4 linked regions of the Notamacropus eugenii genome follow. The protein of the gene in region 2 interacts with the protein of the main gene of each other region in a pairwise test. Links are inferred from orthologs where the notes say so. Each region holds a gene or a part of one and is shown on either strand. Other genes may lie near its edges.

What was found.
Region 1: the proteins of KEAP1 (region 2) and ETF1 interact in binary tests that used the Homo sapiens proteins (3 or more experiments, as listed by UniProt). The two-hybrid records come from large-scale screens. The link is inferred for Notamacropus eugenii from reciprocal best matches to the Homo sapiens genes KEAP1 and ETF1.
Region 3: the proteins of KEAP1 (region 2) and CCNB1IP1 interact in binary tests that used the Homo sapiens proteins (3 or more experiments, as listed by UniProt). The two-hybrid records come from large-scale screens. The link is inferred for Notamacropus eugenii from reciprocal best matches to the Homo sapiens genes KEAP1 and CCNB1IP1.
Region 4: the proteins of KEAP1 (region 2) and WDR83 interact in binary tests that used the Homo sapiens proteins (3 or more experiments, as listed by UniProt). The two-hybrid records come from large-scale screens. The link is inferred for Notamacropus eugenii from reciprocal best matches to the Homo sapiens genes KEAP1 and WDR83.

The regions. Positions count from the first base shown.
Region 1 is NC_092872.1:365,679,226-365,686,087, reverse strand, and holds the start of ETF1 (eukaryotic peptide chain release factor subunit 1), read left to right. Parts: upstream 1-3,844; 5' UTR 3,845-3,981; intron 3,982-4,171; 5' UTR 4,172-4,189; coding exon 4,190-4,275; intron 4,276-4,856; exon of another isoform or gene 4,857-4,974; intron 4,975-6,862. UniProt on the Homo sapiens protein: Component of the eRF1-eRF3-GTP ternary complex, a ternary complex that mediates translation termination in response to the termination codons. The eRF1-eRF3-GTP complex binds to a stop codon in the ribosomal A-site.
Region 2 is NC_092875.1:79,704,883-79,712,323, reverse strand, and holds the start of KEAP1 (kelch-like ECH-associated protein 1), read right to left. Parts: upstream 3,010-7,441; 5' UTR 2,894-3,009; coding exon 2,642-2,893; intron 1,196-2,641; exon of another isoform or gene 1,161-1,195; coding exon 519-1,160; intron 122-518; coding exon 1-121. Other genes in the region: S1PR5 (sphingosine 1-phosphate receptor 5), read right to left, coding at 4,766-5,923. UniProt on the Homo sapiens protein: Substrate-specific adapter of a BCR (BTB-CUL3-RBX1) E3 ubiquitin ligase complex that regulates the response to oxidative stress by targeting NFE2L2/NRF2 for ubiquitination.
Region 3 is NC_092878.1:13,988,481-13,995,689, reverse strand, and holds the start of CCNB1IP1 (E3 ubiquitin-protein ligase CCNB1IP1), read right to left. Parts: upstream 3,002-7,209; 5' UTR 2,904-3,001; intron 2,538-2,903; exon of another isoform or gene 2,328-2,537; intron 1,199-2,327; 5' UTR 1,149-1,198; coding exon 852-1,148; intron 1-851. UniProt on the Homo sapiens protein: Ubiquitin E3 ligase that acts as a limiting factor for crossing-over during meiosis: required during zygonema to limit the colocalization of RNF212 with MutS-gamma-associated recombination sites and thereby establish early differentiation of crossover and non-crossover sites.
Region 4 is NC_092875.1:78,242,273-78,249,866, forward strand, and holds the start of WDR83 (WD repeat domain-containing protein 83), read right to left. Parts: upstream 2,943-7,594; 5' UTR 2,845-2,942; coding exon 2,829-2,844; intron 2,793-2,828; coding exon of another isoform or gene 2,687-2,792; intron 2,223-2,686; coding exon of another isoform or gene 2,173-2,222; exon of another isoform or gene 2,108-2,172; intron 2,091-2,107; exon of another isoform or gene 1,995-2,090; coding exon 1,878-1,994; intron 1,729-1,877; coding exon 1,608-1,728; intron 1,386-1,607; coding exon 1,280-1,385; intron 883-1,279; coding exon 834-882; intron 743-833; coding exon 616-742; intron 524-615; coding exon 275-523; intron 1-274. Other genes in the region: WDR83OS (PAT complex subunit Asterix), read left to right, coding at 2,173-2,222, 2,687-2,792, 2,943-3,040, 3,189-3,255; MAN2B1 (lysosomal alpha-mannosidase), read left to right, coding at 3,991-4,104, 4,493-4,595, 6,173-6,346, 6,536-6,729, 6,860-6,992, 7,154-7,299. UniProt on the Homo sapiens protein: Molecular scaffold protein for various multimeric protein complexes. Acts as a module in the assembly of a multicomponent scaffold for the ERK pathway, linking ERK responses to specific agonists.

The sequences.
Region 1 (6,862 bases), on a different chromosome or scaffold from region 2:
TGTTCCTCTACATTCTTTCTAGAGCCAATAAGACTAGACTGTCATTCAGCCATAGAGTCAAGACACCATTATTTGCTCTTTATTCAGCTGAAATTTTAGTTGACAAGACTACTTGGCTTCGGCAACAAGGAGATCAAATAAAGAAGGAACCCCAAGGTACAAAAATATTTACAACTCTATTTTCTGGTAGAAAAGAACTGGAAATAAAAAAGAGGTGCCTATCAATTTGGGATTGGCTGAACAAATTATTGTACATGAATTTAATGTAGTAGAAAAGATAATTGTGGACATCTTAAAAAAGGGATTAGTAGCCAGGATGTGACAAGGGGGCAAGGGATTAGAAGGCAGAAACTATTCTTAAGACTGACATTTTGCTCATGTTACTCTTGGCCTCTTCACCTGTGTTTTGTTTTTGTACTGCAGAATGGATAAAATGGGGAGGGAGGAGGGGAGATAAAAAATATGGGCTTTTTGGGGAGGAGTGATAAAAGAAAATAAAGAAACCAATAACAGCTTTAATACTTCAGAAAGGCTTCTCATATACTTTTGGGTTGGGGGGGGGACGGTGATAAAAGAAAATGTGATAAAAGTATGATAGAAATGTGATATGTGATAAAAGAAAATAAAGACACCAATAACAGCTTTAATATTTCAGAAAGGCTTCTTCTCATATACTTCCCAGACTGCCACATTATTCCTCAATTAATTTCTTTGCCTTGGCCCACTGGATTTGAATTTCATCTCTTTTTACTGAAGTTAGTTCAAACAGGAATATTTTGAAAAATATTTTTACCATCCTTTCCTTTCTTTCTTTAGGTGATAGCTTTACCTCCTATAGAAGCATGTTAAAGAAATCTCCCTTTTAGTTCAACAAAAATTATTTTTCTAGTTTGAAGTCCTTGAGGTTACATACCTCATCTTTCATAGTGTCTTCCCTTCACCATTCCCTCCCTTGGCACAGTTCTTGGAACATAGTATGGCATCATTAAATGTTGGTTAAATAACAATGATTTTTCCAGACCTTTAGGAGAGTCTAGAAAAAGTCAAGAACAAATGGTAAGGCCTAGAAAACAAGTTAAGAATGGGAACCAAATATAAAACATACCTCTTGTTTAATAAATATCATTGGCTTCCTCAACTCCCAATGATATGAGCTAAGAGCTAGAAAGTACTAGCTTAGAAAATACAAGACACCCTCTTCTTCCTCACTCAGGATGAATTAGGGAGGATTATTAGGAGAAAGGTTGGCTCAGTCCCTTAGTGGAGCCAAGGAAGGAACTGAGTAATTTTAGGGGAAAATTATTGTTAATCTACTATTAACTCAGAAACCTATTATAATATAATGAGACATTTTTTACTTCCTATAAATGCTACTTTCAAATTGCCGGAGAGCATACGGGGGGGCAGTTAGGAAGAGCTGAACACTTTGGACACTTCTTTAAACTGGAAATCCTTGGCTTTGGAAATAATCTTAAATTAATAAAATTGTTTCTGCCAGGTTTGTACCGTAAGCTCAGAGTTTTATTTTTTCTTTGCCAACCCAATTACACATACTTATATAATTTTTGCAAATAGATAAGCCAGAATAGACCACCATGGTTCATGGAATACTTTAACTGTCAGAAGACAAAATAGGCCTGCTTTCCCTCATGTGCTAATAGCATTACTCAGCACAGAAGTCACATTCAAGATCCCTAATCTTCCCACATTTTTTCTTCCCTTGTATGCATCTCTCAGGGTTTGTGGCTCCTATCATTTCATCCAGTTCTCAGTGTAAATGAATATATTTTCAGAACATCAGTCAGCCAAAATTCCACTGCATGGATCAGAGATGTTCTTAAGAATTCCTGGCAAAAAAGATATGCAAAATTTTGACTATTTGAATATATCACTGACTTGAAGGATTGTCCTATAACACAGGCCATATAATCTGTGCAGATAAATCCATGAAACTATCCAGTAGGTTGGATTTCAATAAGTACTGTTTAAAAATCTCAAACTCAAGTAAGATAGTCTTTTGGGAAAGGGGCCTGCAGGAGCAGGATGAACAGTATTGCTGGTCCTAGCAAACAGATTCTTAAGTCATTTTTACTGAGCACCTGTGTGTATAAAAATATGTAAAAATACAAACATACATGCATGGATTACATAAATATTGTACACACTATATATACATATATGTATGTATACATACACACAACTTAGTAAACAAAAAACACTTCTTTATCTCTCCACTCTTCAAAAAAATAAATCCCTAGGGGGCATTTATAATCTCAATGAGAAGACTCCTATTACATACCAGGTACTTACTTGTGAAGGTACTTTGTAAAGGCAAAAATTAAGCTTCCCAGCATTCAGGTTACATTCTATCAATTCTATCAATATTATACATTATCTAACAAAGCTTACAGTCTATTGATATTATGTATTACATTCTATCGATATTATGTATTACATTCTATAGTAGCTTTTCCAAGGTCATACAAGATACAGTAACAACTGATAACTTACATAAGCACTTAAGAGTTTTTAAGACTTTCCATATATATTTTACCAAAACATTATAAGGTAGGTACTAGAAATATTATCCCTAGAGAAGAGGAAAGACCCAGAGAGGTTTTGAGAGACTTGCCCATGATCATATAAAAGTCACATTAGAAGTGTATCTTTATACGACTTCCCGTTTCCCAAGTCTAGAGCTCTACAACACTAATTCAAAGTATTACAAAGCGGGTACAAAGGACTTAGAAGATTCAAGGCGTGTGTGGAGGTAGTCATTTCCTCTTAAGGGCATTACAGAAGGCTTAAAGATAGAAGCAGCATTTGAGTCCAATGAATAAAGTGGATATGGAACACATGTATTCTACCTAACAGTTACGCATGGCTTTAAGGTTTGCACAGCGTTTATACTCAATCTTGTAACAAGACCACCACAAAGACCTTTTGAATTATTATGTATACCACGACCAATTTACAGATGAAGAAACTGAGGCCTAGCGATGATTTGCCTAGCTAACACAAGTCAAAGACTGGATTTAACCCAAGTCTGCGGTACCCAAATCTCAACACTTTTACCCATCCCGCCGCACAAGTTTTCTCAAGTATCTTCATCCTTTTCTACTTCTTTTCACGCATGCCAGAACTGCACAACCTCCCCAACCACAGGGCATTCTGGTCCCGACATTTCCTATTTGCTTGACCCACGAGGCCCCAGACCCAGAAATGACTGCAATTCCGCGAGTCCCTCACTCTAGAGCCAGAGGCCGTGACGTCACGGAGGCCGGGGGCGACGTCACTGAGGCGGCCCGGAGCGCTCTCCTCCCAGGCCTGCAAGGCGCCATTCCCGGCGCGCAAGGCAGCGCCCGTAGCCTAACTGGCTCAGCCGGGGAGCGAGCTGCGGCCGACCAACCCCATAGATCCCCGGAGGATACTCGAAGTCGGGCCATGGGGAGCTCACTGCCTGGAAATCCGGAGAGAAGCAGACGCTACCACCTCGCACCACCACGCATTGCCCTCTAAGTGCCCACTCCTCACTGTCCTGACGCGGCACTGATCGAAAGCTCGCGAGAGTCTTAGGGACAGGTTCTTTTTCACTTGCCGTCTTCCACGCCCCGGAAGAGGTGGTAGCTCTTTCCCCCCCGCCTCAACCCCCCTGCCCTACCTCACAAGGCAGCGCGGCCCCAAATGCGACCAATCACCGGGCCCGTTGTTAGAGGCCGCGCGATGAGCCAATGGAGTGCAGCAGCGCGCGCCCGAGTTCCTGCGACCCCTCCCCCTTTCCTCTTTCCTCTGCCCCCCTCCGCACCCAGCCCTTTGCTGCGGAAGTGATGTCACAGGCCCCATGTGAGCGGATTGCAACACATGCAGCTGCCTGGAGAGAGGGAGCCGGTGTCCTACGTCAGAGCCGCCGCCGCTGCCGCCGCCGCCGCGGAGCCGCCGCCGCCGGGGAGGAGCCGCTGCCACCCGGGACTGGGCCCTTAGGTGAGGGCTGGGGGGGGGGGCGGGAGGAGGAACCCGAGTGACTGGGGCCGCGGGGTACAGGCGGCTGGGGGGGGGGGCCCGGGGGGAGAGAAGGGCCGCTCGGGGGCAGCGGGGAAGGGGGCCGCTCTGCCCCGGCGGCGGCGCTAACTCTGTGGTCTTGGTGTCTCCGGGCCCCGCCGGGCCGCTCTAGGGAGGAGGAGGCGAGAAGATGGCTGACGATCCCAGCGCTGCCGACAGGAACGTAGAGATCTGGAAGATCAAGAAGCTCATCAAGAGCCTGGAAGCGGCCCGCGGGTGAGCGTCGCGCCGCGCCCGGGGATCCCGGGACCCTCCCCCCACCCCCCGGCCCGCCTAGCTCTGAGACTCCCCTCGGGAGAGCCGGCCTAGCCTTCCCGGCGCCGCATGGCGGGCTGTGGAGAGCCGGGCCTGAGAGGGCTCGGCCGGCCCCAGGGGCCGCCTCTGGGTGGGGCCCCCAGCGTGGGCCTCTCCCCAGCCCCGGCCGCCCCGGCGTCCACCACTTCCCTCCTTCCGGCCTGTCCGGGGCACCGACCCCCCTCCCCATTTCCTGCCCCGCAGACCTGGGTCTTCCTCCTGGTCTCCCTCGGCCCCTGGAACCCTTGTTGGCCCTGGGGACGGGGCCCCGACGGCCCCCCGGGGGGGCAGAGGGGACCGCCTCCCTGCCTCCGCCTTTCCTCGACTCTCTCCTCATCTCTTCTTCTCCCTTCACGCTCGGAAGCCTTTAGAGCCCAGATGGGGAGGCCATTTTGACGAGACCTGGAAGGAAAGTGAAGTTGGTTCGGGACTGTAGAGAGCAGCTGATGAGGAGGGGGGACTCAGGCCTCCCCCTGCCTCCTATCCCCTGCAGCAGGGCAGCCGGCCTTGGGGGACCTGCTGGGGCTGAAGTTACAGCAGAGTTTGGGGGAAGGCTTTCCCCGCTCCTCATCCCGGGATGCTTTGAGGTGCTGCTTCCAGCTGCTCCCCAGGAACTCCTAGGTGGTAAAAAGAAAGAGTTGGCAAATATGTTTTTAAAGGGGGTCGGAGTTTTTGTTAGACACTGTGTCTACTGAAAATAGTGTACAGTTGGGTCACGTTAAAACCATCCCTATAGAGTTTGAGACTGGTATTGGTAAGAGAAAGGATGTAGCCAACTTAAGAATGCTCTTGTTTTAAAACAGATTCAGTACAGATTTGAGTGGGTTTTGAACGTTTACTTCATGAAATTTGGTAGGAATAAGGGAGTTGTTTGGTTTTTCTGGGGGAACAGGAATTTGCTTGATTTAAAAGCTGCTATTCTTTTTTCAGAGCACAGTTTGTAAAGGTTTCTAAAGTGTCCCATTCCTTTCATAGTTGTAAAGGAACTTTTGCAAGGGGTGAAGATGATAATTCTTTGAAGCATGTAACATTTTTATATACATACTCAGTGTTATATGTATCGACATTTTTGGAATGGTAACTTGATCACAGCCATATGGAAAGTTAGTTTCAGAGCAGGAATTAAAAGTTCTGACTCCCAGCACTGCTCCACTGCTGTCATTATCCTCTAAGCATTCTGTTTTGTGTCCCCATTTCCCCTTCTTAGTGGTCTTTTGTGAAGTAGGAACAGAACATACTAAGGACCTAAGGACTGCAAATATCTTTGTGTTAAACTTTGTTCTTAGTTTTGGCAAAAACATATGGTCATGTCAGAATGAAGCTTCTGAAATTTAGTTGTGATCAAGTGGTTTGGACTGTTGTACTTTTGGGATTTTTTTTGTTTTATTTCTTTCTTGTGAAAGAATTTGGGGGAAAGAGTTAGAGGAACTGGGAATATTAGGTAACTAGATCATTGTTTGTTTACTAGTTTGATTTTTCTTCATCTTTGAATCTCCTTGAATATTCAAGATTAGTTATGGTTTTAAAGTAATTCTACATGAAATGATGATTCCAGGATAGATAAAGTAAATTATTCTCCATTTGTTAGATTCTTTCAATAAACACTCATTCAATTAATGCTAAGGATTGTGTTAATTCTTTCCTTATATTGGAATTAACTTTTAACTGATGGGCCTTTAGCAATATTTTTAGTAGTCACTTGGTTTCAGAGCTGTTTTCATTGTAAAGGGTTAAAACTGCACTTGGCTTGTAGGTTCACTTAGTCTTCATAGTTTTAGACAACAGTTTATTTCAGCCTATTTGCTTCCCTAAATATACTGATTTAAACTTTTTACATGCTTTGAAGGCAACCAAAAAGTTACTTCACTGCTGTAATTTTCCTATCATCTGAATAAGGTAACTTGGCTTAGTAATATTAGTTTAGACTGCTTTCTGCTTGCTGTTTTCAATTCTTAAATTTGTTTCTAGGTATGTCACCTTACCTTAAAACTTTTTTCATAGGTTGTAAATATATCCCCTCTTTTAAAACTTAAGAGTGCAAGAGGGAGGCAGTGTTAATCTGTAGTGTAATTAGTAAAGTGTATAATATGAGTAGCCTTATCAACAAATGGAGTTTGTGAATCAGGGCAGAATCAATAAAATACTTGAGATGCTTCATGGTTGGAAAAGGGTTTAAGATGAGTGTGTGATACCTGAGGGAAAAGGGAGAGTGTACAAGTTAGACAAAACTTTTCAAAGATTTGTTGTTTTGGAATAGAACATGTGTCTTTTCCAGGTCATAGGGAGAGTTAATTGACTTTATCAAAATGTCCAGGTGAAACCCTCCCACCCCCAAGCAAATGCAATTTGACTTGATGCCTTTTTCTTCATGCATCTAGAATTTTAGTCTTATCTTGGCACAACAAAGTGTAAAGTCTTTGACTTTCTTGGATCTTAGAAGACTTTTGAAAGTTGTTCCTCTTTGATTTGATATTTGATTGTATGTATTTGTTTCTTCAGGGAATATTAA
Region 2 (7,441 bases):
TGACCCAATTGATGCAGGCATGGAAGACCTCGGACTCACAGCGCACGTTGAGATCGTCCCGACTGATAAGTGTAACCAGCTGGCAGTGGGATAGGTTAAAGAATTCCTCCTGCTTTGCTACCTGGTAGAGGGGATGAGAGGTAGTGGGAGCAAGGAGGTTCTTGACTGCAGTCCAAAGCGATGCCCCCCCCCCCCCCCCCATCCTCCTGGGATTGGACTACCACCATCAGGAGCTGTGTACTTCCTGCTTTCAGTGGGGCCACCCCTGAGTGGAGACACAGGGAAACAGAATGCTCCCAGCTCCTCCCCAAAGCTCAGGCAGTACTATTAAACAAATGAACAAGTACAGGTAGCAGCCAGACTCCATCAAATTATGCTTTTTCACTCTGACTCTATACACCTCAACCAGAGGTGTGATGTTTTGATAGGCACAGGACTAGAGTTATCTCCAGAAAGTAAATCACTCACTACCACTACCACCTGATAACTCCCAGGCCACCAAACATATACACACTTACCTCCCCAAAGTGCATATAGATGTACTCCCGGGCACGCTGATGGAGTTCAGCACAGCCAATTTGCTCAGCAAAGTTGGCAATGCCAATGGCATTGCTGGGATCCAGCTGCTGCACCAAAAAGTCACTGCAGGCCCGAACTACGCTGTCAATCTGGTACATGACAGCCCCATTCATCAAATGCAGCACACATTTCTCCCCCATGGAGATGGAGGCAGTGTAGGCAAACTCTATGAGTCGTTCCATCACCTTGGGGTGTATGCCCTCAATAGAGACCACTTCCATGCCCTGCTCCCGCAACCCATTGGTGAACATGGCCTTGAAAACTGGGCTGGAGGAGGCGAGTACAACCTTGTGAGCCATAAACTGGGCAGCAGGTGTATTTTCGTATTTGACCTGCAGAGTCACATCACATAGCTGCTGGCTGAGCCGAAGCTCATTCATGATGCCAAAGGCCTGTTTGGTGTGGTCCTCTAAGGTATAGCTGAAGGTCCGGTTGCCATGCTGGGAGGGTGTCACCTCCGCCTTGCACTCCGTGGCATACATCACCGCATAGCCGGCCCCCCCAGGGCGTTTGGACAGAAGGGGGAGAGAATGGGCACAGGGAACACCCCTGCTATGCCCAGACACTGGCTTCATCAGGCTCTAGAAAAACATTGCCACCGCCTGGAATCACACACCTGGGAGTGAGGGTGAGGGGATGGTGATCAGGCCCTAGGTGCCAGTCCTGGTAGGGAGAACCCACTCCTCCATGGGCTTGCTTCTCTCTCCTGGGGAAACTTCTCTCCTTTGCTAAGAAGACTATCCCAGGGGAGAGCAGCCAGCCTCCACCCACCCTAGGTGCTTAGAATGCCAACCTAAAAATGAGCCCTATCAATATCAGCTGGCACTCCAAGTAGCAATCCTAGCCTGGGTGGAGCCTCTTTCAAATGAGACAACCTGTGTAAAGTACTTTGCAAAACTTAAAAGGGCTATGTAAATAGATAATAAGTATATTCCCCAGCCAGACTCCTGGTTGAGGCTTCTCTGGTCTGGATCTGAGCCTTGATGGGATCGTAGACCCCAGAGGTCAACCTCATTTTAAAGATAAGGAAGCTGAGGATATGAGAAGTTAATGCACAAGTGGTAAGAGATAGAATTCAAAACCAGTTCCTGAGACTCCAAACTCTGGCTCCAAGTGCAAAAAGCAGATGGTCCCAAACCAGTGTTACAACTACCCTAAATATCTGAGAGATACCTTTCTGTCTAAATAGTGGACACCCACATCCCTACCAGGCACCCCCCACATCCCTACCAGGCGCCCCCCACATTACCTAACTCGTATGTGACACCCCTGCCTTCCACTCCTGTCCTGCTATTTCGGGGCTGGTGGCTCCCTCTGCGCCCCTGCTCTGGGTCATCCCTGGCCCAGCCCCGGCTGGAGGAAAGCCCCAGGTTCCAGCCTGGCGGGACAGCTTCCTAGCTATGTGACGTCGGGGCTCGCGCTCCTTCCCTTCCCGAACCTCCCCCCACACCCTCCCCGGGCCGCCGGGCCGCCCAAAGGGGACAAAGCCGGGGCAGCCGCACGAATGTCACCGGTGGGGCCCGGCCTGCCGGCCCGAGGCCCGAGGCTGGGGCGGCGCAATGGCTGCGCACCTACTTCCTGCCCCGGCCCGGCCCGCCCGCAACTGGCTCTGCAGGCCCTGGGGTAGCCCGGGATAGGATCTGGGCCCCTCCAGCGCCGGGCCCTGAGCCCCAGAACCCGCCCTCCGAAGGAGGGAACCCGGCGCGGGCGGGGAAGGCCGGGCCGACGTGGGGAAACAAAGCGGCGCCGGGCCGGGAGGGCGCCGGGCCGGGCCTGCCCGCGGTAAGGGTGCGCCTGTCTCCAGACAGCCTCGACCCGCGCCGCCAGGCGGGCCCCGGGCTGCAAAGAGGATCCGGGGCCCGCCACCCCGAACCCCTCACAGCGGCCTTCCCCCCGGCCGGGCGCCAGAGCCCGAACCCGAGCAGGCACCGAGGTCGCGGGCTCTTGAAACGCCGTACCCGCTGCCTGGTCCCGGCTCGGGGCAGGGCCCCTGCCGGCCGCGGCCTCCCGCAGCCCCGTGGGCGCGAGCTCCGGCGGCGGCGGTAGCGGCCGCGTTACTCACCCAGCCATGGCCGCACTCCTGCTCCTCCTCCGCCGCCTCCGCCTCCCGGGCTCGGGCGCCTCCATCGCGGCGCGCGGGGGGGATGGGGGTGGGGGGAGCGGTGGAAGGGAGATGGCGGGGAGGGGGGGAGGAGAAGGGGCGGGGCGAGGGGAGGATAAAGTCACCGTGACTAAGCAGACCGCGCGCCCCGGCCTTGTCAGAATAAGAGTCCCTTGGTCCGCCACCCGGGCTTCGGCCAACGGGGTCGCCCATAGCCGGGTCCTCCAGCCAGCGCAAGGGGAAAAGGGGACACGCTTGGTTTTGCTCCCCCAGAAAGAGTTAGGAGGCTAGGTTAGTAGGGGAGGGGCCCTGCTCCCGCCTCTTTCCCCTCCCCCGTCCGAGGGTCGTCCCTGGGTAACCCAAGCGCGAAGGAAAGCGTGGAAACGGAGCTACTTCGTGTGACTGGCGACAGAGGCGGAGGCTGGAGGGCCTCCCCTGGGCTACCTTCCCCGACCCCGGCGCTGGGGGGAGTCTGAGCGCCCTTGGGGGCTAGCCTGTCCCGGAAGCCCAGGGCGTGATGCGACCTCGGCTGGGGCTTCATGGGCCCCTGGCCCCAGGACTCACCACAAGCTCTCGGGATGTCCGACTTTGCCTCTTGGACCGACCCCAGTGGCCCAGCTTGTCCGTGACTCACCAGCCCTGCCCCAGAAGCAGCCCTTGCGGCTGGCAAACCTTTCGCTGCTTTCGATGCTTCGCCCGCCCCTCCTTCCAGGCTAGCGCGGCTACACTCAACACCTCACTTGACCCCCTCTCCTCCGGCCACCTGAAGCCAGGCCTTTGCCTTTCCTAGGCCGGGCGTAGAGAGTGATTGAGGATCCCAAAGCACGTGCTGTTCACCACCGCCGAGGCACCTGCCCGCACTCACTGAGGCCTGAACTTTTGGAGAAAAACGGCAGTTCCACCCCGCCCCCATCCCCGAAACACACCTAGAGGGAGGGAGAAAAAGGAGAGGGCGACTCCTCTCCCAGCCCTGCGGGTGACTCCGGCTCCTACCCAGACGGGCGTGACACGGGTGTCCTAGACCAGGGGTCAGAGTCCCCAGGAGCTGGGTGCCTCTCTACTCTTGGAAGCCTCCCTCTGCTTCGGTGATAAGAAGTGTATCAAAGACCTGGGAATCCAAGGATCCACAGGATGCTGGTGGCTGGGAAGGGAAAGGATGGGTGTAATAGAAAGGACCAACTCTGGCCAGGGCTGCGGCAGGATCATTGTAAATCCGAGGGTCTCAATCTAAGCGGATTTAGAGGAAGATCCCGGGGTTCCAAGGCATTAAAAGGGATCGCCTGGGATTAGGGGAAGGAGTTTCAAGTAACTCAAGGCCACAGACTTGGACAGGACTTGGAATAACTAAAACTTGGAATCTAAGGAGAGGTTGAGACCTGAGCCAAGATGCAACTGGAATTCTCCCTTCCCCTTACCCCCCAACTCGCCCGCCCATCTCTGGGTTTCCAGCCTCCTTAACAAAGCTACCTAGGTCCTCTGCAGTTCCGGGGGCTACCGGGAGGTGGAGGCGCGCAGACGCTAGTAGGCTAGGGCAGCGAAGTGTAGATCAGATTTAGAAACTGAGACTCTAAGGTCAGAGCTGTGCAATCTGCATCTCAGAAGGGTAGGGGACTGACTGATCGTGGTAGAGCTCTTAGGTGTTATTTTATGGGAAAAATAAGAGCAACACTTGGATTCGGGTTAGCGTATGCACAGATCAGCCAGGCATGAGATGGGGGCAGCACAAAGATTTTCCCACAAGCCTTGACCAGCAGAGAGATTGAGTCTTTGGCAAGGGCTCTTCCCTTTTATCGCTTATGTAGGGTGGCTAACTTGGAGTTCCAAGCGAAGGAAGTTAGAACCTAACCTGACACTGACGACTCTGGGTTTTTCTAATGAGGACTTCAAAATTTCAGGCCAGGTTCTCCTCGAGATCTAGGTTTCCGAGGTGTGTCCGTTCCCCGATACTCAGGCTTTCTAATACAAATTACTTTATTTTTCAAACAACAATAAAAACAACCTGTAATCTAAAAATAGTGCAGAAGGAGAGGACTGGGTCCTATAGAGGGATTGGGGAATAAAGTGTCAGTCTGTGACTTTCTGCACCTAAGTCTTAACTGGAGTGGGCGTGGCGTTGCTTGTGGAGACGCTCGTGTCGACTTCATGTCGGTTCGAGGAACGTTCCGACTTGCTGGTGCTGCACTCCAGTATAGGCGGTAGCCGGAGGCGTACGCTGGCCACACCTTCACCACCACCTGGCCCTGGGCGCAGGGGCCTGTAGCAGCAGCAGCAGCAGCAGCACGGGTAACAGCAGAAAAGGCGCAGGAGCGCACGGCGTAGGTCCCGGCTAGTAAGCGTGTAGATAATGGGATTGAGCAGCGAGTTGGCCATGGCTAGGCCCAGGAAGTAATCTGCCTGCAGGAGTACTGGGCAGGCTCGAGCTGGGCACGCTACATCCAGCAGCAAAAGCAAGAAGAGTGGTCCCCAACACAAGATGAACGCCAGCAGTACCACGGTCACCGTGCGCAACAGCGCCAAAGACTTGGGCAGGCGGCGGGACCCTCCGGACGCAGCCCGAAGTTGCAACTTCTTTGCGTTGGCACGCACCAGATAATAGATGCGGGCATAGAGCGCAAAAATAGCCACAAGGATGACTAGGAAGGCAAGCACACAGAAAAGCACGTAGGACTTGGCATAGAGGGGAAGCACTGTGGAGCACTGGGACAGGCGGCCGAGGCAGTTCCAGCCGAGGCCAGGAAGAAGCCCGAGCAGCAGGGACGCCAGCCACGCAGCTCCCGCCAGCAGCAGGGTGCGTCCCCGCCGGTGTGTGGGCGCCGGCCTACGGCTTGTCATGGTCAAGTGTCGCTCCAGCGCTATCGCCAGCAAGCTGAGCACCGAGGCAGCCAGTGTCACGAAAACACCGCCCTCGCGGGCAAACCAGAGAGCGGGCGACAGGTGCAAGGTGCGGGCCCCAGACAACAGGATGTTGATCGTGTAGGCGGCGCCGGCTAGCAAGTCGGAGAGGGTCAGGCTTCCCAGAAGCAGGTACATGGGCGCATGGAACTTCTTGTGCCGCCAGAGGACTAGCAGAACCGCCAGATTCTCCAGGACGATGAGGCCACACACTGCCAGGAAGACTGCAGCACTTGCGCGCAAGCCGCTGCCGGGATCATAGCGAGCCCCGTTCAGTTTGCCGGTGTAGTTGTAGTGCAGAGCGATCACCTCACTCCCTAGCACAACCTGGAGCGCCGGAGGCGGCTCCATGGTGGCCTAATTCCCCACCTCCTCCTCCTCGTGGTTCTTTGCCTCTTGAGGCGCTTCACCGATGCGTGGCTACATCACCATACTGGGCATTGGGAAAGAAATCGTTCACAGGCCTGAGCCCTGGATCTTGGTCCCAGCCCTGCTGGAGAAGGAAGAGGACCAAGTCAGTGGCAGAGTTCTCCCCAGAGCCAGCCTCTAGAGATTCCAGCGCCCCAGGGTCCTCCTTCCCCCCCCTCCCCCAAACCTTCCCTTCTCCTCAGATTCCTGAGCCCTGGGAGTTTTGGCCACTTCCTCCGGAAAGCCTCTGGAGTAGCAGGAGCGAGAGACAGCTTCTCCCCCTTTCCCCATTCTGGGAACCCAGCCAGCCTAGAAAAAAGACCGAATGAACTGCTGTGCCCCGCAGGAATAAGGTCCGAGATGCCCTTGGGGCCATTGTGCCCCTCTCTAGAGCAGAAACCGGCTCAGCTGTCCCTAGAGCCAGTCTGGAGTGAGGGGGCTGAAGGGGTGAGTGGGCTTAGCCCTTGGCAAAGACCTCGCAGGCAGCTCCAGAGTGATGAGGAACAGCGGGGGAGGTTCCAGGGAGGGGATGAGTTGTGACCTCCGGGCCAGGAACCAGGCAGGCACCGGAGCTGGGCCAAACCAGTGGGGCGGAGGCAGATTGTCCCAGAACTCCTAGACACACGCACAGACACAAAAGCCACACACACAAGTAGAGTTGCACAGGCAGGCACAGATCCACAGACATAAAGCAATTACACATACACAAATAAGTAGACACGCAAATTCACAGAGACTTAGCGTTATACATGTGAACAACTACAAATTCACAGATACACAAGTCTTCCAATCACTGAATTTCAGAGTTGGAAAGCACGTTAGAGACCATTTAATTCAATCCTTAACTGAAAAAGGACTTCCCCACCCCCTCTCTCCATCATCCCATCCAGTCTCCAGATTTAAAACACAAAAGTAGAATCACAGGCAAACAGATCTACAGCTCAGTGACACATACACACAGAATTATACAAGTTACACAGCCACAAATCTAAAGATACATAGAACTTGCTGCTGATGAGAGAGATCTGAGTTTCTGAAACGGCTCCCTCAGCTATTACTCAAGCTGGGGCAGGAAATGTTACTGAGAACTTCGATGTCCTCTGGCCTCCCTGAGTCAACTCAGCTAAACCTGCGGCTCTGCAGGAAAGTGAAGGGAGAGACTTGCAAGTGGGGGAATTCTTACTCTACCTCTGTTTCTCTCTCCACACTTCCACCTCTCTCCATTCCCCTAAGCCGAGATAGCTGGGTATTCCCTGAGCTGACGCTGACATTTCTCTTTTTTGAAAATGCCAGGGAAGTCCCTGGAGAGGGGAGCTGGAGGCTTCGGTTGGGACTGGCAGGCCTGCCGCTTTCTTCCCTGACCCCATTCAGGGTAAGTGGGGAGAGGGGCTGCATGATGGTTGTCCTTTTCGGGGGATTCTGTGCCCTGTGTCGGGCATCTGGAAGGTCTCTGGGACAGCA
Region 3 (7,209 bases), on a different chromosome or scaffold from region 2:
CCCTGCTCTTGTCAATATTCCATTTATTTATGCTGCTTAATTTTTACATATACAATAAACTGTTATTATCAATTTTTCACCAATGTCCAGTGCTACATATACACAATCAGATAGGCCACCTTCACAGTTAAGGTTGTGCCCCAGAGCGAAAAACTTCTGCATCTAAGGTAGGAACTACTTGACATAAGTAGTAATACATGGTCATGTTACTGTCTTTTTCTGTGCCGTAGCATCCTTTTGTAAAAATGTAGTTATAGTGTTAACTCATAGGATTTATCGTGATTTCTGGTCACCATTCTTTGATCAAGGTTAACTTAATCTGCTTTCATTTCAAAGTTCAACAATATAGAATTACAGATCCAGGGAGCTTTATTATAATTGCTAAATAATGTAATCAGGCCACTTTTTCTTACTGATCCTCTTTTGTCCCTGAAGAATCTTTGTTCCACCATCATTCTAATTTTTCAAATCCCAGAGAAATCCCAGACTCCTTTATATCTCATATTTATCATGACAGATTTGCCAGATTTCATTCACCCTAAGAGAATAAATAGTACATTATTCCTTTTCAACTACGCTATACCAGCATAAGAGAGGGATGTTACTTCAAATTGTTACGGAATGTGCAAACACCATCATAAAAGCAACTTCTGGATAGTTTTAATCCAAATACATATATAGTACATAACATGTTCAAAAATATACAGTAGCATTTCAAAATAAAGAATCAGAGTCCTCAAAAAGTTTATGATTTAACAGAGAAGAAACACACATACATTAGCAAAGAGGAAAGAGTCCACAGACAGCTCAGGACATAATCTCTACAAAGGTGGAGAACGGCCACAACTTACCTGGTAGGTCCAGAAGGCAAGGGCTCGGGAGCTGATGTCCAGAACAACTTCTGGTCTCAACCCTGCCAGCACCATGGCCTTGTATTCCTCGGTGGGGCTGAGCTCGGTGCGAACAATGTCGAGCTTACCAGAAAGGGTACTGTTGCAGGCCGGGCAGACGGCTGGAGACCGGCTGAACTCCCCACTGCCATGCTGGTCACAGAAGATGTGTGAGCACGCGGTTACCCACGCGTAGCCAGAGAGCCTGACCCGACACTTGCGATAATTACAGAGCAACATGTCTTCACATATAGACATGTTTCGGTAGGAATGGCTCTCTCTCGGGCTCCAAAACGCCCAAGGGAGTTCTAAGGAGGAATCAAATGAGATGTGCAGTTAGAGCCGGGAAGATGGAAGGATGAAGAGACCAACAGGCCCACTGGCACTTTGGGGGCAGTCAGCATTCACTGACTTTCCTCTGCCCTCAGCAACGTCTTACAATGGGAAGCCCGTTACACTGAAATGCGAGAGCCTGGGCTCTGCCACTGGTCACCCATGCCTTTCTTCATGTCTCTTCCACAGTCCGGGCCTGTCTTCATCTAGAAAACACAGACTAGATCTGAGCTCCCTTCTTTCTACTCCTCTGTGACGGTATCACAGAAAAGCAGATTTGGAGCTTCCTTCAAAGGACCCTAGGGACCATCTAATTTTCATTTATCCCCATTTTTTAAATGAGGAAACTGAGACCCAGACAGGTTAAGTAACAACTGGCAGAACTGGGATTCCCGCCCAGGTGCTCTGACATCAAACCCAGCACGTTCTCTTCTTATTTATTTGTTTTTTGGGTGACCGGGTGACCCAGTTGGGCCTGGGGTTCGAATCCTGCCTCAGACGCTCTTGGCCTGAGGCGGGTCGCATCCTCTGCCTCACTTTCCCCAGACAATAACAGCCCCGACGTCACGGGGTTGCTGCGGGGATCCAAGAACTATCTTGCACAGTGCCTGGCACCCAGCTGGCACAAAACAAGGGCCTGTTCCCTTCCTTTCCCCCCACGGACACGCACAAACTGCGGCCGGGACCGCACCGACGGTCAGCAGCTGAACAGGGAGCACGGTCGCGGCCGTCCGACTGGGATGGCCACGGCTCTTACCGCCGGGTTCTTCCCGGCTAGGCCCAGCCCCCCAACCCCCACCCCCATCACTAGCCGAAGGCCGGGTTGGGTTTTTTTAATAATTGACACATTTTGCCCCAAAATCACGCTCGGTTTTAAGCCGCAGACCACAAGCGTGTCCTCCCACGCAAGGCCCGGGAGCTACGAGGCTCCGTCCTGGACTGGGTCACTGAGCGGGAGGCTCAGCCTTTAACTCATAGACAGGAGAGTGGAAGGCCCGGAGGGTTCGGTCACATCCCCCCGTCCACACTGGGGAGGGGGAGGGGAGGCGGCTGCAGGACCGGCTCGGGGCCTTCCACTTCCAAGTCTAAGGTCCTGGGACGGACCTCAGCAGGGGGTTGCGTTGGAAGGCCTCAGAGGTTCCTTCCGGCTCTAGAACTAGAATCCTGTTCGGCTTTTATGAAAAGCCTGGATGGGGTCAGGCCCAGATAGGTGGGGGGGTGGGGGGGAACGGAGGTAAAAAGTTCGCTAAGATCCTGGGAGGGAGAGGAAGGGGAGGGGGCGGAGAGAAGGGGGAGGGGGAGAGAGGGGGAGGGGGAAAAAGGGAGGGGTGGGGGGAGGGGGAGGAGAGTGGGGGGGAGGAGAGAGGGGGAGGGGGAGAAAGGGAGGGGTGGGGGAGGGGGAGGAGAGTGGGGGGGGAGGGGGGAGGGGGAAGGGGGAGGGGGAGGAGAGAGGGGGAGGGGAGGGGGAGGAGAGAGGAGAAGGAGGACAGAAGGAGACTGGGGGAGGGGGGAACTTCTCCGAGACTTTACACCTGGAGGAGGAGCAATTTCCCCCACGCGCGGGATGCTGAGGCCCAGGGAGGGGGCGGGATTTGGTTAAGGGTGGGAGAATTTTGAACTTGGATTCCAACACTTTAAGGCAACTTCGAAGCACGAAAAAGAAAAAAATTAAGATTTTACTTGAGCCCGCCAGGAAGAGAAAGCGCGGGAAAACACCTCAGCCTAGAAAGCGCCCTCAGTCGCAACGCGTGTCTCCTCCTCTCCCCCTCCCCCTCCAGTCAAGCTACGCATGCGCCCCGTCCTCCACGAGCCCAGATCGAGCGTTCTGCACTGCGCGTGCGCCATGTCCCCCGCGGGCTATGAGCTCACTTCCGCCAAGATATACCCAGAGGATGTCATACGCCCAGTGAAACTGACGTATTTTGAACGGGCAGAACTCATTCTGTGACAGCCAGAATGGCCTTATTTCCACGCTTATCACTTTTCTGTAATCCTCTCTCGTGTTTTGCCGAAATACTAATCCAGCTCTCAAGATTCAGCCCAAATCTCACCTGTATCTGTGGCGTTATTTGCATCACATATATAGATAGATATAGACATAGACAGATAGATATAACCTTGAATTTTTGCTTTGCACAGCCTACTACATTCTCCCAACAGATTGTGGTGTACCTGTCTGCGTCCATGACAGATGCCAGTGACAAGTTTATATGGACTATCTATAGGGCTCATTGCCAAGGGAAGCAACTTGTTTACAGAGCAAGTCAGCCCAACAGAATCTGGGAACAGGGAAGGGCACTTAGAGTCTGTTACCTAGTCTAATTCTCTAATTTTGTAGTTGAGGAAGAGTATGGAGGTGACTTGTGGTAATCACATAGCCAGGCAGTGGCTCCACCAAAACCGAAATTCCAGTAACTAAACTAGCAAAATGGAATAATTGTCTTTTTTTTTTATTGAGCATAGCTGCTCACTAAGGGCAATAGTGGATAGAGTGCTGTGCCTGCTTCAAATCTGGCCTCAGACACTTACTGGCTGTGTGACCCTGGCCAAGTCACTTCACCCTGTTTGCAGGAGTGCCTCATCTGTGAAATGAGCTGGAGAAAAAAAAATGGCAAACCATTACTGCATCTTTGCCAAGAAAACTTACAGTCCCACAGGACTGAACAACGTCCACATACCAAGGGCTGTGCTAAGTACTGGATACAAAACCAGCTAAAAATAGCCTCTTTTCTCAATAAGCTGAGTCTCAGGGACAGAAAACATGCAAATAATGCAGTACAAAAGGAAATATGCAGAATAAATCAGAGGTAACCAAAGATGGAAGGGACTACCATTAAGGGGGAAGCAGAAATGCCTTCTTATAATTCTAGCTGGGGATGGAAGGTGCAATGTCATTGCTGATGAGTTGTGTTTTAAGTTAACGGATAATTTAAAAAAATTTTTAATCGGTAGTATCATTTGTAAAATCTAAAATTGGTGGGAATTCAAAAGCAGGAGCCTCCCATAAATATGTAAGCTGGTTGAACAACATACATAATGGGTTTTAAAGATTAAGATGAAGATTTCCAAAATATTTGAGTGGATTTGCACAACCAGGTGGTGATAATTAAGGCTTTAAAAATACAGCAGATGTCTCATGCGCCAGTGAATGCAACCAGAGGCTGATTGTTAAGTTTGTTACAAGTTTGAGAGGCCTTGGGATAAACATTTGACAGTAGAGCCTATAGGGTATTTATATGAAAGATCTTGAAATAAACGTTACATTTATAATTTTTTTTCTTAGAGCTCTATCAACTACTGTTCCCTAATTTCAGTTTAACTAAATCATTATCTACTGTGTGCAAGAGACTATATCAGGCCCTTGAAGATACAAAGACAGTAACTGCCCTGAAGTTTATATTCTATTTAAAGCATTGAATTTACAAGATAAGTAAATGAGATAATTTAATGAGGAAGAGAGCAAGCACCTAGAACTAAAATACTCAGAAAAGGCATCTTTTTAAAAAATACTTGAATTGACTTTAATGAAACTGATTTTTAAAAATGGAAGTGAAAAGGGTGTGCATTTGAGGTATGGTTACCAATGCAAGGACATACATACAGGAGATGGATTGCCAAATTAAGAAGCCAATTTAGCTGTAAGATTAAAATGCTTGTTCTTTATTGTATATGAAATAAACCTGAAATGATAAACTGAAACTATATTGTAGAGGACTTTAAAGCGCTGAGGTGCTAGTGTCAATTGTTACTCAGTCAGGTCCTACTAATGATACTGGAGTGGTTTTCCATTTCCTTCTTCAGCTCATTTTACAGATGATAAAACTGAGGCAAATGATTGCCCAGTCACACAGCTAATGTCTGAAGCCAGATTTGAACTCAGGAAGTTGAGTCTGTCTGATTCCAGGCCCAGCATGCTATCCACTTCACCACCTAGGTATTCCCATAAGGAACTATTTAAACTTCTTACCAGGTAGTCAGACTTTTACTTAAAAAAAAAGAGGCAGGGAGACCAATTAGTTAACATTGCAAATATTGGAGGCAAGGAAAGATAAGGACCTGAACTAAGACAGTGGCTGCATGGGCTATGAGAATGAGATAATTAATTAGGGCTGATTATAAACGTATAAACCTGGATGTCATGAATGGTGGTGCCCTCAACAAAACAAGGCAATTTCAGGGAAAAGTAAGGAATCAGAGTGGGCCATGTAGGTAGAGACTGGTGATTCAGGACAATTGTTAAGCGATTAAAGAGATCCTACAAACATTGTATGACATGATTTCCAGGCTCCTTGCCATCCTCTTAATAGCCTTTTGAAGTGAACTACCACTTGAGGGAAATCATTTTCTTTTCCCCTAATTTAGCATACATCCCTCAGCAGCTGTTCCAAATCTACCCTCTCCTTGCTTGTCCTTTAGACATTCTATATCCCATTCTCTCAGCAGTAACTGCCAATCCTATTTACTAAAGTATCTGTCAAAAGGTAACTCAAAATTCCTCTACAGCTTACCCTGTCTACTTCTGTCTTTGAAGAGGAAGTAGTTCTTTGTGTCAAGACTTAGATCCTCTACTTGTGCCCTTGATCCCATGCGCCTCCTCCTCCCAAGGCTCAGATCTGAGTTTTTTTCTTTCTTAATTAGCTACCTTTGCAATTTCATATATCAGTTCATTTATTTCTTCAGATGACTTCTGAATCTACATATTTAGCCCACATCTCCTGAACACCACTCCTCTATCACCAGTCTCCTGCTGACGATCACTACCTGGATGGCCAACTGACATTTCAAATCCAACATGTCCAAACAGAATTCATCCTCACCTGCCTTTCCAAGAAATCCATCTCCTCCGGACTTTTCTGTTGAGGTCACCAGTATTACCCCATGTTCAAAAAAAACTTACCACTCTCCCTCACCACCTTTATCCAATCAGGTGCTAACTTTTGTCAGTGCTAACTTTTGTCAGTTCTACCTCCACAACAAAGCTTGTTTCCATGTCCTTCTCCTGGGAACTGCCCTGGTTCAGGCCCTGGACTACTGCAGTAGCTTTGGAATTGAACTATCTCTATCATCCTCCCATCTTCCATATAGCTGAGAAGACGAGACCATTTTGGCTGCAGCAAAAGGAGGGGGTGTACCTGTTAGAATTATATCACTTTCAGTAGGCATGCGACGTCATCCATGTGCATACTTTCTCAAATAGGGCAGCACAACATATCGGTACAGATCCATTGGAACCACTAAGGGCTTTTTTAAACTTTATTTTATAAATAAGCGTACAATAAGCAAAAATGGCCATTGGGAGACATGGAAAGAGACAAGTGATCCCAACCAAGACCCTTGTAATATTCAACTGTAAGTATAAATGAGATTATAGCTCACAAGCCTCAAAGTTTCATTCTCCTTTGTTGTCACTTTTTATCAATTTGAAATATTCTTCCTTTAAAATTTTCCAACTCCCTAAATTACTGACAAAGGCAATTGGGTCATTAAAAAAAAAATCTGTTGAATACTAAAGGTACTGACAAGTATAGCCTAATCTTCAAGGTTACTTTTGAGAATATCCAGATTTGTTCTTGTTCAATAGAGACCAAAATAGCACAAATAAATAGCTTTTTGAAGATCTTATATGCTACTCAATCTTACATAAAGTGTATAGGAAGGCTGCTAGTATATGTTAGGATGGAAGTTTCCTACTGATCATTAAGTAAATCTTTCACACAGTAATAACTTAAGTCTCTCACATGAAGAGAAAGCAATTCCTAAACTTTTGTTACATATACATGGGTGTAACACGCACAGACACATGCATATATATCGCAAAGTAAATAATTCAGTCATCTTGGAACACCATGCTCAAATTAGGCAGTGACAAAATAGTTACTTATGGGAACTCAGTTCTGTCTACTCTGATTAGACATGCAGTTGTAATGAACTCATCAAGTTCTAGGTTATAAAAATACATGCTGCAGACAGTTTTTCCATTTAAAAG
Region 4 (7,594 bases), about 1.5 Mb from region 2:
CCCCCTCCTCCATTCAAGTCCCAACCCAGGCATGATCTCCAGCTATGAAACTTTCCCAGACTCCCTTGGAAGAGTCATTTCTGATTGGTGCCTCTCTCACCAATCTCATAAAACATTTCTCATGTTTTATAATTGGATATGCATCATCCCCTTTTGTCATAGCTTTCTTTGGGTTTGTGTTTTGTGCCCGGAGAGGTTTGTACACAGGAGCTTAATTAACATTGAACAAATGGGTGAACAGATGAGAGGCCACCTGCTCGGTTGGCTGACTCACTCTCCTAGCAGCTCCCCTGTGTCTTTGTCCAGGAGTCGAAGGGAAGAGTCAAGGCTGGAGATGAGTGTGCACTGGCCATCTTTGCTAAAGCATACACAAGTGATGGGACCTGTAGAAGGAGCAGGGTGAGGATTAGTGCTCCCAGCTATGCCCTCCCAGGCCCCTTGTGCCCCAAGCTCACTTCCCACATAATCTGCATACAGCTCTCCCATCCGAAGATCATAGCGTCGTGAGCGTCCATCCACAGAACTGGGGAGAGACAGTAGAGAAGGGGCTTGGATGTGTCAAGACTTTGCTTGGTCTCTGCCAGGCACGTCTTCCTACTTTTCTCTGGCACTCACCCTGCTAAGATCTCATGGTCTGACAGCTTTATACTGGATATACCATCTTTGGCTTCATCTAGGATCTGGACAGGATCAGGTCGTCGTGAACGGCAGTCCCAGCATCGGACACTTGAATCAATGGAGCCTGCAGCCAGACCCAGCTCCCAGTGACATGGAAGCTGGGGCAGAACCTAGGCTCTTGAAGCTTCTCCCTACCCCCAGAACTCTTAACTTACCAGACACAATCACTGTGGCTTCTTCATTGAACTGCACACAGTTCACCTTCTGTAAAGCCAGCGTGGGATACAGGTAGAGGAATGTTTGGTCAATGTGGGTTATTGTATGGGGGTTTAGGTTATGGGAATAAGCAGAGGAATGATCCGGTGGGGTGGGATTTTTGGGAAGAAGTGGCCCCTAAACTGGACTTGGAAGGCAGAGGAGGTATAGCATGGTATGGTTGAAGACAGCAGGCCAGTAGACAGTAAGGGCTGATGGCCTCCGCCTCACATCAAGTCAGTTCAGAGTTTGGAGGGGATGTACTGACAGGACTTGGTGCAGGGATGGGGAAGGGTTGGGGATGGGAGGTGAAGAAGACTAAGAATCCCTGCAGCCATGGACCCCACCAAGGCAGGGAATGGGCCAGCCTTGGATTTCCCTTCAGTGCTCCACTCCCCGTTCTTACCCCTGCATGGCCCCGGAATTTTCGAAGAATTTGGCCTGATGCCACGTCCCAAAACAGAACGGCGCGGTCACTTCCCCCAGAGCACAGGCGGCTGTTGTCAAAGGAGCTGGGGAGCAGGGTGGGAGAACCGTGGATCTCTGGGGTCCAGGAAGGCATGAGGTGGGGGCACGGAGGCTGGGAGAAGGCCGCCTGAGGGTTTACGGTTTATGGGCCCATGAAAACATTTGGGACAAGAGGCCCGTTCCCACTGGGGAAGAAGAGGGGCCTCCGTGCAGTGGCCCCGGGGCGGAGCCCCAAAGGTGAGGCACATTCTGGGGGAGGGTCTCACCCTGCAGCATCCAGCACCTCGGCCCCGTGGCCGCTGTAGGTCCGAAGCAATGTCCCCCGCAGGGGGCTCCACAGGGACAGTGACTTGTCGCTGCCGCAGGTCAGGCAGTAGCGACCATCCACTGCGCGGAAGGAGAGTCCGAGCCTGTCCTCCCTCTCCCCGACCTTCCCTCTGCGCCCTCCCTCCCCCTTCCCTCCTTCCTCCCCCTCTCCCTCTCTCTCGCTCCCCTCCCTCCCCCCTCTTCCCTCCCCGAGTCAGGAGGGCACAGACCATTGAACCGCACAGCCCGCACGGCTCCCTGGCGGCAGGGCAGGCTCCGCACCGATTTCCGAGGCAGCTCCGGCTTCGTTGGCCTCGGCTCTGGGAACGCCATGTTCGGGGCGGTAGCTGGAACGAAAGCATCCGAGGCAACAGTGTTACATCCTAGGGGTTCCCCCGCGCTTCGGGAGTTGTGTGGTGCCGGAAGTGCCGGCGGCGAGAGCGGAAGGGGCGGGGTCAGGACCCGTGGTTCGCGAGCCTCCTCAACCCCGCCCCGCCGCACACCCCGCCCCTTCCCGGCCCGGCAATGTCCGCTAACAACATGTCGGACCCCCGGCGGCCCAACAAGGTGCTCAGGTGAGGAGCCAGCCCCGCCTCCACCCCCCAAGTTCAGAGATTTCCCTGCAGTGAAGCCCATTCCACAACTACAGCCAGCGCTTAGAGATCCTAAGAAGGAAAGCTGTGTCCCTAGACTCCCTAGCCTGCGCTTAGAGATCCTTCCCAGGGGAAGCTGACGCCTTGAGTCCCCAGCCTGCGCTTAGGGCCGGAGTTAGGCAAGCTGGTTATATGTCTCCCCTGCGCTTGGAGATCCTGGGAGGAAAAGCTGTTTCTCTTGGCACGATTTCCTGCTTTCAGATCCCAGACTGGGAAAGCCTACTCGCTCCCTGTACTTAGAAATCTAGGGGGGGAAAGGGATTTCTTGGGTTTCCCCCAAGCCTAGAGAGCCCGGGTAACGAAAGCCAGCCTGTATGTTGATTCTCCTTCTCGGGCTTTGAGATGGGCTGACAAAGCCCTTTTCTGTGCCACCTTGGTGTTCTCAGGTACAAGCCACCGGCCTCGGAAAACAATCCGGCCCTGGAGGATCCGACCCCGGACTACATGAACCTGCTGGGAATGATCTTCAGCATGTGTGGCCTCATGCTCAAGGTGCAGCTCAAGGGCAGGGTGGGGAGGGTCAGGCACCTGGGTGAGAAGACATGCCCCTGGGGTGAGGACTCAGGCCTCCGGCTTGAAGTGGGTTCTTAGAAAAAGAGGGAGAAGACTCCAGCCCAGCCTGATTCTGCCTCTCCTTCCCAGTTGAAGTGGTGTGCCTGGATCGCTGTCTACTGTTCCTTCATCAGCTTTGCCAACTCTCGAAGCTCTGAAGATACCAAGCAGATGATGAGCAGCTTCATGTAAGTTCTGGTGACTGGGCAAAGCCCTGGTGGGGGTCCCAGTGTCGTGGAGAGGAGTGTCTTTGACCCCTCTTTCCTCCCTTTCTCCTTCCCTGTCAGAGGGTTCGAAGAGCCCAGCCCCAACCTCACCCTCTTTCCTCTCACCCAGGCTCTCCATTTCTGCTGTGGTGATGTCCTACCTCCAGAACCCCCAGCCTATGACACCCCCGTGGTAGACACCAATCTCCTAGCTCTTCAACCTGGACCTCAGGATCCTAGGGCGTTTACTATTGGTTCCTGGGCCAGAATAAAGAAAAAGCCAGAAACTGGTTTATTCCTTACTCTTATGTTCACCTCCCAGCCTCTGCTCCAAATCTGGGGCCTCAGACTGTGAGTCCACGGTGGAACGTCCCTACTCTGACCTTACCTCCGCTGAAAGATTGCCTGTTCTTGGGCCCTGGCCCTGTCAGTGTCCCCCATCCCCAAATTCCTCTCCAGCTTCCCTGCCCCAGGCACCTTGGAGAGAAGAGGTTCCTGCGCCTGCCTGGCCTCTCATCGCAGTGTCTGCCCTTCTTCCTGGGCCACGGTCCTTGCCAGCAGGCTGAGACTGGGGACGGACGCCCCCGGGCCCGGGCAGGCCAGGCTGGGGCAGAGGCTGGGGTTGCGGGGCTCCCCAGCTTGTAACTACTTGTAGTAACCAATACAGACAAATGTGTAAGAAAGTTTCTCTGGACTCTGTTTATTCTCCGCCTCTTCTCTCGGGCCCCGCCTCTCGCGCCCCCTGATTGGTCGGTCGGGGGGCGCACCCGCCCTCCCCCTCGTGGGCCATTGGTCGGGCCTCGGTTCCGGGGTCTGGCTCATACGAAGGAAGGGTTAAAGGGCCGTGCGGCTGAGCTGCCGGGCGGGTTGTAGCGGCGCTGGGGCCGGAGCTGGGCCGCTTAGGCTGGGACTGCCCTCGGGGAAGGCGAGCGATGGCTGCCGGCTGCCGGGCTCGGGCTCCGGGGCTCCCGCTGCGGCTGCTGCTGCTGCTGGCGGCGCTGTGCGTGGGGGCCGGGGCCGAGGACGGCCGCTGCGACTACTATGAGGTGAGAGCCGGGCAGCGTGCAGCTGGGGCTGGGAGAGCGGCGCTGAGCCCGGGGGGAGCCCGTGACCGAGCCTGCCGGGGAAGGAGAAGGGGAAGTGAGCCGGGGTGGGGGAAGGGTGGCGCGGCTGCCCCCTGACCGCCCCATGTTTGTTGAGTACGTCTTCCCCTCTCTGGGGGCCCTGCGCTGGGCTGCTGGGGCTTACCTTCGAGGGAGTCCCGTGAGCAGTGAGGTGGGTGCAAGGAAGCTGGACCCTGAACTATGACCCCACCATGCCTTCTCCCTATCTTGTGGTTTGGGGGCCCTACCTGGAGAGGTGGGGCTGGCCAGGGGCTGTGGTGTTTCTGGTGATTAACAGCCCCAATGGTGGGGGTCTCTGCCCACTGCCCAGTTGTGCCCGGCTACCCAGCCCTCTATGCTCAATGTGCACCTCCTGCCCCATACCCACGATGATGTCGGCTGGCTCAAGACTGTGGATCAGTATTATTACGGAGGTAAGAGGGAGAGCAGTCTGGGACTAAAGTAGGAGTCCAGTCGTCCAGTCTCTGGGTCACTGAGCCTCCATCATCTTTTTTCTAAGCTGGGAGGGAATGGGTGCTAGTGACCACAGGCTGTTGTGGCCCCAAGGCTCGGTCAGCTGATCCGAAGCCTTCCTCTACTAGATTCCTTTGGAAGTTCTGCCCTCAGCTTCTTTCTCTCCCTGTACTTTCTCTTTCTTGCCTCATGATTTTTTCTTACTGCCATAGCTTCAGTTGTCAGAGAATTGCATAATCTGAGTTGGAACAGATCTCAGAAACCAACTTGTCCCACCCCTACCTAAGGGAGAATCGCTTCTACAATATAGGAGAAGTGGTCACCTAGCCTTTGTGAAAATGTCCCAAGAGGGAAAGCCTCCTACCTTCTGAGGCTCCCATTCTCCTTGGGATAACTCAGTTAGGAAGCTCAAATAGACCTCTTTGCAATTTCTACACTTTGCTTTTATGTTTGAACAGAAAAAAAAGCAGTAATTATAATACAGTAATAGGTATACAAAAGTTTTATATTTGTATGATTACCCCATGACCTAGATGAACCAGATGGAATCAACAAAATATTTATTTCCAGGCCCAACCACTCTCCAGAAATCTAGTCACCCACCCTTATATACTTATGAAGCATCTGACCAGCACCAAAAACTGAACATTAACCAGCACTAAATTCTCATTTTCCTATTCCAAATCTGCCTTTCCCTTTTTCTGTTTCTGCTGATGTTATCCCTGTAGTAGTAATAGCATTTTAAGGTTAAAAAAGCACTTGCCTCTCACCTTTGTGGGCTAACCAGGTAATTCCCAGGGTGACTATGCCCAAGTACAGCATTCTTCCAATGAAGCCATATATGACCTTTAGGAGTCACCAAGCTTCACTTATCTTTGGCTCCTTGCCCCCTCTCAGCTTCCCATTGGCTGGCAAGTCTTGTCACTTTTGCCATCTTCATGTGTCTTTTATCTGCACAGGGTCCTCTCCATGCACAGGGCCACCACCCTATGTCAAATTCTCATCTCTTTTTCCTTAGACTATTGTCTAATCTAACCAGTTTCCCTGGTCTCTAGTTTGTTGCCTCCCATCCAATCTCTCTCTCATAGTCAAATTAATCTTAATGGTTGTTCAGATCACGTTGTTCTCCTTCAGTGACTCTTTATTGCCTAAACAAATGAAAGTATAAATTCCTGATCCTGGCAATCAAAGCCCACTATAGACTGACTCTAAGCTACTTCCTTGTCCCAGCTGTCTCACATTGCTCTACTTTATATACTCTAGTCTAGCCAAAGTGCGTTATTTTCTATTCTCCCTTTTTATTCTGTGGTCTTCTGTTCTTTGGGTTTTTGCTCATTCCGTCTCCACTGCCTACCCACATCTATCCCAACAAGCCTTCCTGTCATGATATCCACCCCACCGCTCCAGCTGAAGATATTGTTTCCTCAGAACTCTGATTCATTTCATTTCTGTAGCTGTAGCACCAAGGACAGGCCCCTGCACGCAGTAAGTGTTTAGTGACTATGTGAATAACCTGAATTTCATTAAATGCCTATAGCTCGAGATGGCATTCAGCATGCTGGTGTGCAGTACATCTTGGACTCAGTGGTATCAGCTCTGCTGGCCAACGAGTCACGTCGATTCATCTACGTTGAGATCGCTTTCTTCTCCTACTGGTGGAACCAGCAGACAGTCCAGATGCAGGAGGAAGTGCGACAGCTGGTCTGCCAGGGTGAGGATTGGGGGCTGCCACAGTAGGGTCCATATCCTTTACAGGTACCTACCATGACCCAGGGCAGGCTGGCAGCCTGGTGCCCACTCTAGGCTTCTTGCAGCCAGGCCTCCTGAGAGCAGGGGGCAGGAGTTGGTACCTGAGGCCTCCTTTGGGGGAACTCCTCTGACCCCATCCTCTACTCCATAGGGAGGCTCCAGTTTGCCAATGGAGGCTGGGTCATGAATGACGAGGCCACCACATACTATGCAGCCATCATTGACCAGATGACTTTGGGGCTGAAGTTCCTGAAAGACACCTTTGGGGACTGTGGCCGCCCCCGAGTCGCCTGGCACATTGACCCTTTCGGCCACTCACGGGAGCAAGCATCCCTCTTTGCCCAGGTCTGCCTCAGTGTTCTCTAACTATGCTTTATCTTGCCACCCTTTCCTACCCACTGACCCTTCCCTCCCCTCTCCACATATATTGGAGAGAACCTCAGGCCCTGACATCTCTCTGATTCCCTCCCCACAGATGGGCTTTGATGGCTATTTCTTTGGCCGTCTGGATTATCAAGACAAGCAGAGGAGGAAGATTCAGAAGGAGATGGAACAGGTCTGGAGGGCCAGTGCCAACTTACGACCTCCTCAAGCTGACCTCTTCACTGGTTAGAGTTTTTTCCCCCATTTCATCCCTGAAGTTTGTCAGGTGTGCACAGGGCCTGGGGAGAACTGGAGGTGGAAGAAGGAAGGATTTGAAATAGGGCCTGAGGCTGGGGGAGCTCCTGAGAGCAGTGTGGGGACCCTCAACCTGACCACCTGGTCCTAGGTGTCCTGCCCAATGGGTATAACCCGCCCATGGATCTCTGCTGGGATGTGCTTTGCTTTGACTACCCAGTGGTGGATGATCCCGACAGTCCAGAATACAATGCAAAAACGCTGGCCGACTACTTCCTGAACATCTCTGCTGTCCAGGTCAGACCTGTTGGTCATGATTCAGAATCCCTGTGTGTCAGTGACCCCAGACAGTCAGAGAATAGCCTACATGGCTTCTGTCTTTTAGACACAAGCCCCAAGGTTTCTCCATCTTCAGGGCCCCTTCCTGAGGCCTATGGCTGTGGGCCATTTTCTTCTGCTGGTTCAGGGAAAGCTGTCCCCTACCAGAAACTGACCCCCTGCAGGAGTCCTGTGGAGTGTTTCATTCTAGACAGTCCCAGCTGAAATCTGAGGGGTGGAGGGTGGAGGGAGATTGTGGTTTGGCCCTATCTCC